Linked DNA regions of Macaca fascicularis. The protein of the gene in region 1 purifies or fractionates together with the protein of each later gene. This does not show direct contact. Links are inferred from orthologs where the notes say so. Each region holds a gene or a part of one and is shown on either strand. Other genes may lie near its edges.

Evidence for each region. The genes of interacting proteins can lie anywhere in the genome.
Region 2: the proteins of RIGI (region 1) and SQSTM1 purify together in Homo sapiens (affinity purification with western blotting; 5 studies listed by BioGRID). This does not show direct contact. The link is inferred for Macaca fascicularis from reciprocal best matches to the Homo sapiens genes RIGI and SQSTM1.

The regions. Positions count from the first base shown.
Region 1 is NC_088389.1:66,632,952-66,636,608, reverse strand, and holds part of RIGI (antiviral innate immune response receptor RIG-I), read right to left. Parts: intron 1,762-3,657; coding exon 1,465-1,761; 3' UTR 1-1,464.
Region 2 is NC_088380.1:186,728,043-186,730,606, forward strand, and holds the end of SQSTM1 (sequestosome-1), read left to right. Parts: intron 1-34; coding exon 35-230; intron 231-1,147; coding exon 1,148-1,305; 3' UTR 1,306-2,012; downstream 2,013-2,564. Other genes in the region: MRNIP (MRN complex-interacting protein), read right to left, coding at 2,146-2,564. UniProt on the Homo sapiens protein: Molecular adapter required for selective macroautophagy (aggrephagy) by acting as a bridge between polyubiquitinated proteins and autophagosomes.

The DNA of each region.
Region 1 (3,657 bases):
TACAAATGGAAAATGAAAAAAAAATCAACTCATAAACTTGGTTTAAATAATCAATTTGTATTGGATCTTAGTAAGAATACTGCTACTAGTAATTATTATCAAGCAACTACTGTGTCATGTACATTTCACACATTCTTTTAATTAAAAACTCTCCACTAACCCTTACAGTTCAGTATTATCCTTGTTTTATAGATGAAGAAAAGCCAAAGAGAAGTTATATAACTGGCAAGTTTCTCTGGCTCCCTGCCTGCACCATTGCTCACTAGATTGCATGGAGAGGGAGGCGGCTGGAACACCTCATCCCGTTGATCTCCAGGGAACTCAGGCACTTGCTTCCATGTCTAGAAAAACCGCAAACTAAGCTCTTTGAAGCATGAGCAAACCTTGCTAAGTGACACATGAATGCCATTTGGATACATATTCTAATCTTTCAAGTAGAAAGGACAGTCAGACTGCCTCACCTGTAACATCCAAGGGATCTGAGAACAGACATTCAGTCCAGGTGTTGAACATCAACCATTAAAGGAAAATCGTCAAAGAGAACAATGGCACATATTAAGAGAACATATTAATAGGGTAAGATATATAGTAAACTAAGTTTTCAAGAAATATTTTATCATTTTTATGCTCACTACTAAAAGCTGTCCACTGTAGAGTGGACACACATTGCTACATACAGCAACTCTAGAGTGGACAGCTTTTAGTAGTGAGCATAAAAATGGCTTTATGTACTCATGTTCTCTGTGTAGCCGTACCACATGTTGCTACACAGGGAACATGAGTACATATAACCATTACATATACATACCTGTATGTATGTATAATAGTTATATATACATATTTACAGTATATACATGTATATATATTGAACCCTTGGAATTACCAACCCTTAAGGGATCAGCAAAGAGGAGGACTCAATAAAAAAGACTAGACTAGAACTAGAAGAGAGAAGAGCCCAGGGACAGTTTCAAGAAGAGTGCTCAACAGGGCCAAATGTGCAGAGGTCAAATAGAAGGTCAAGAAGTGCCCAGTGGATTTGGCAACCAGAGTCACTGGTAACCTTCAAAAGAACAATTTCAGTAGATTGTTAATGGCAAAAGCCAATGTACAGTAGGTTAAGGAGAAAAAAGGAGATAAAAATTCCCAACATTCCATTCATTCATCTATCCCGGTGTGTACAGAGTGATTACTGTGTGTTTGTTGGCAGTTACTCTAAAAAGAAAGCTAGAAATGAGGCTTTTAAATTTTTCCCAAGTACTAAGAGCTCTGTTGGCCTACAAAATATTCAGTGCTGTGATTCACTCATGTGTGCTTTGCATATATAATATAATACAAACTGTTAAAGATATTTTTAAAAAAATATTTTCACAGGCGTACAAGCGATCCATGATTATACCCACTATGTTTGTTTCTTCTCCACTCAAAGTTACTCATTCCCTGTAGCTGAAGATTGAGGCCCTGATATCATTTGGCCATTTCTGCTGGATCAAATGGTATCTTCTCAAAATGAAAGTCCTTCCATTTCGAGTACAGTGTCTGAACTCCAGTTGCAATATCCTCCACCACAAAACTTTCAATTTTTATAACTGGAATCTCAAATGTCTTGTACTTCATATGGATTCCCCAGTCATGGCTGCAGTTCTGTCGGGCACAGAATATCTTTTCTCTTTTATCAAAATTTGAAAACTTCTTTGGCTTGGGATGTGGTCTCCTCACAAAGCATTCCTTAAAAGCATCTCCAAGCACAGTGTAATGGCATTCCTACAGATAAAGGGATGGAATAACACACAAAAGAGAACATTAGAACCAGTACATAATTGTGATTAAAAAAAAAAAAAAGAGAGAACTCCACAATAATCTGAGATGAAGAATAGGTGGGTCTCACTTATTTTACAATTGGAGGAAAACAAATATGGATTCACCTAAAGTCCAGAGGACGATCCATGCACCTGACTCCCTTCTACAGGCAGGGTAGTGTTGCAAGTGAGACACTGGGCACCTCATAGAGAGGAAGATTAAGAAAGACCCAGGTAACCCAGCTTCTGAAGGTAGATACTTATTATTCAAAAACACAAGCGATGTTTGTTGAAAATCTGTGAAGCTGAAGTTCACCAGTGGCCCTAGCAGGCACAATCCAAAGGATACAGGGAAAATGACCAAGGTCAAGGTGCAATTGAAGAAGGTCAGGGACTAACGTGTTCACAGGCCCCACCTAGAGTCAACTTTAGAGTAAACGGCTCAAACAAATGCAGATCCAACATACTAGTCCCTCAGGAAAACATAGGGTCTAAAAGGGCCATTTTTAGTAGAATAATCACCCAAATTGGAGCTAAAAGGACCTTTTACGCTAAAGCAGCAGACTTAGAAAGGTAAGGGAACTTAGCAATATGACTCCTAATATGCTTTTTGCCCAAACAGCTGAGCTGATGAGAGATTTCTGCTTTCTGAAGATGAATGGAACACCCTGAAGTAATAACTCCTCATCTGAGCCAGCCCAGCCCCTCCACCGTAACCCCACATGCAAGACAGTTATACCCCACATTTCTCTTTGGAGATTTTTCTAACCCTTTTTCTGAAAGTTTTAAGAACAAAATACAAGGCTGCAATAGAAAGCCAACCTTCAGATGTCACATTTTACAAATAAGGATATATTTTCTTCATTATAGAAGTGATCCATAGCCCAAAAGGAATGTTTGGAAAACATAAAGTACTAGGGAAAGAGAAAAAGATCATGGAATCTCACCACCAAAATATTAATACATTTTGGTATAGTTCCCCTAGCCTTTGTTTTTCTGTAGAAAGGTAAGTTTTTTGACTTTTTCTTGACAGTGACAATGGTATTTGCTGCTGTTTCACACAGCTATAAAGTAGCATCTTTATAATTTTGTGTTCTGGTTACTTTTTTCCACATTAGTTTGTAAGCAGTTTTTCATTATACTACATAAACTTCATAATCTTTAAAATAAACTTTACTTTGGAACAATTTTAGATTTACAGAAAAATTGCAAAGATATCCCAGAAAATTTCTGCATACCCTTTGCCCAGTTTCCCCAAATGCTAACATTTCATATACCACAGTACATTTGTCAAAACCAAGATATTAACCTCAGTACATTACTATTATCTAAACTACAGATTTTACCACTCTTTCTCTAGTCATATCCTTTATCTGTTCCAGGAGCTAATCCAGGACACTTCATTGCATGTAGCATGACTTTTTTTTTTTTTTTTTTTTTTTTTTTTTTTTGAGACAGAGTCTTGCTCTGTCACCCAGACTAGAGTGCAGTGGTGCGACATCAGCTCACTGCAACCTCCGCCTCCTGGGTTCAAGTGATTCTCCTGCCTCAGCCTCCTGAGTAGCTGGGATTACAGGTGCCCACCACCATGCCCAGCTTATTTTTGTATTTTTAGTAGAGAGAGGGTTTTGCCATGTTGGCCAGGCTGGTCTCGAACTCCTGACCTCAGGTGATCCACCTGCCTCAAAGTACTGGGATTACAGGCATGAGCCACCATGCTCGGCCTGACCACTTTAATGGCTTTTTTTTAAATGGCTGTGTAATATTAAGTGGCTGTACAGCAATGTTTTAAAACTATTTTTTTCTTTTTTTGAGCCAGGGTCTTACTCTGTCATCCAGACTAGAGTGCAGTGGTGCAATC
Region 2 (2,564 bases), on another chromosome or scaffold:
GTCTCTTGTATGCTCATGGTGAGTTCTGTTTCAGGAACAGATGGAGTCTGATAACTGCTCAGGAGGAGACGATGACTGGACCCATTTGTCTTCAAAAGAAGTGGACCCGTCCACAGGTGAACTCCAGTCCCTACAGATGCCAGAATCCGAAGGGCCAAGCTCTCTGGACCCCTCCCAGGAGGGACCCACAGGGCTGAAGGAAGCTGCCTTGTACCCGCATCTCCCACCAGGCAAGTGAACCAAGAGTTCTGTGTTCAGTCCTACCTTTCCCTTCAGAGCATCCTGCCCCCCGATTCCAGCGACACAAACAGGATGGGACGTTCTCCACTGCAGGGCTTGTCTGTAGGTGTGGGAGGTTAGGAGTTGGTTTTGTCCTCTTACGTCTACCCTGAGCAGCAGTGAGTAAGCTCTGCTAATGCAGGAGTTCTAAAAATGTTTTTCTTTAAGCAAACTCCAGAGCCAGGAATATTAATTGTAGGAGTTTCTAAAACTTAACATGCAGACCAGGAATTAAGGTAGGTGTGACACAGAGAGGGGGCAGCACTGGGTGTGTCCCTACTACTCACACTGGGCTCAGACCTCTTCAGTGTCTCCTCAGGGAGTGCTGGTCTGAGTGGGGGTCATAGCCAAGATCCCTGGAAGAGCCAGGCAGAAGCCACCGTTGAAGTGGATGGTGTGGAAGGCAGCGGTGGGGGGTGGGGACAGCTGACAGAGACTCCTCATTGTCACTGCAGCCGTGTGTGTGTAAACCAAGGTCTGTGCACAACCTGCTGTGCGCTGCCAGTGTGTCTTCTCTGCCTTAGGGCAGGGGATGGCGAGCTATGGCCTATGGGCCAAGAGTAGTTCTTGTATTTTTCAATCAAAAGATGTGACAGTTAGAGGAAATGCGTATTTCAGTGTCCAGCGATAGTTTTGTTTACATACCACCTGGCTGCCTTGTGTCACAGTGGCAGAGTTGAACAGTGTGAAAAAGACTGGTTGGCCCTTTACAGGGAAAGCAGGTCCACTGTGGCCTGTGAGGGCCAGAGCTCTGGGCACTCGGACACTGGCAGGCCTTGGTCCCGCTGGCCAAGGCAGGAGGGTGTGTGTTTCGGGTCACTCACAGGGCTCAGCATCACTCCTCATGGCTTCCTTACTGTTTTGGCAGAGGCTGACCCGCGGCTGATTGAGTCCCTCTCCCAGATGCTGTCCATGGGCTTCTCTGACGAAGGCGGCTGGCTCACCAGGCTCCTGCAGACCAAGAATTACGACATCGGGGCGGCTCTGGACACCATCCAGTATTCAAAGCACTCCCCGCCATTGTGACCGCTTTTACCCACCTCTTCTGTGTCCCCCTCTTCTGTCTCGTAGCTGTTAAGCTAGTGTAGAATTGCAGGTCTCTGTACGGGCCAGTTTCTCTGCCGCCTTCCAGGATCAGGGGATCAGGGGTTAGGGTGGAAGAAGCCATTTAGGGCAGCAAAACAAGTGACATGAGGGGAGGGTCCCCGTGTGTGTGATGTCTGAGAAGCAAGACTGGTCTCCTGGGTGCTCTGGTTCCCTGCAGCAGGGCTGGGCCTGCGAGACCTGAGGCTCACCGCAGTGCTCCTGGCCCCTCCCTGCAGGGGCCACATTAGCAGCCCAGACATAGCTTGCCTAATGGCCTTCCACTTTCTCTTTTTAAATGACTCGGAGGTCCCTGACATTTAGTTGATTTTCTGCTAGAGACCTGGTACGCTCTGATTTTAGATAAAGGATGCCTAGGTGTTGTTGGCGGGTAAGCAGGGGAGGCGGCTGTCCTGGCACAGGCAGTGGGGAGGCCGGGGCAGCCAGTGTGGTGGGCTTCCTGCTGGGACTGAGAAGGCTCATGCAGGGCATCCGTAATGTTGGTTTCGCTGAGAGCTGCCTCCTGGTCTCTCCACCACTGTAGTTCTCTCATTGCCAAACCATCAGCTGCTTTTAAAATAAGATCTCTTTGTAGCCATCCTGTTACGTTTGTAAACGATCTAATTAAATGGCATCAGCACTTTAACCAATGACATTTGCATAGAGAGAAATGATCTGTTTGACAGTAAGTTTATTGGTGGTTCTTATACAGTATCTTTAAAAGTGCCTTAGGGAACCCTGTCCCTCCTAACAAGTGTATCTCGATTAATAATAACCTGCCAGTCACAGATCATCATCAAAGTCTTCACCAGTTGTAAAGAGGTCACACAGTCGTGGGAGTTGGGGATTCTGTGGCTCCTGGACCAGGGGCCCACCCTCTGCCCAGGGAGTCCTTGCGTCCCATGAGGTCTTCCCGCAGGGCCTCTCAGGCCCGGATGTGGTGGGGTGTGTGGCCCGAGGAAGCTGGACAGCGTCAGTGGGCCTGCTGAGGCCTTCCCTTGAGGCCTGTGCTCTGGGGGTCCCGGGGGTCCCCTGCTTAGCCTGTGCTGGAGCAGCTGGCCCAGGATCCCTCTGAAGAGGCGTTGGCTGCTCTCTGTCCACATGTGAACTGTTTCTAGGTGACAGGACAAATCGCGCCCATTTAGAGGAGGTGGCGGTGACCTGCTGGGCAGGACTCCATAGCTCCTTCCCAGGACCCCTCG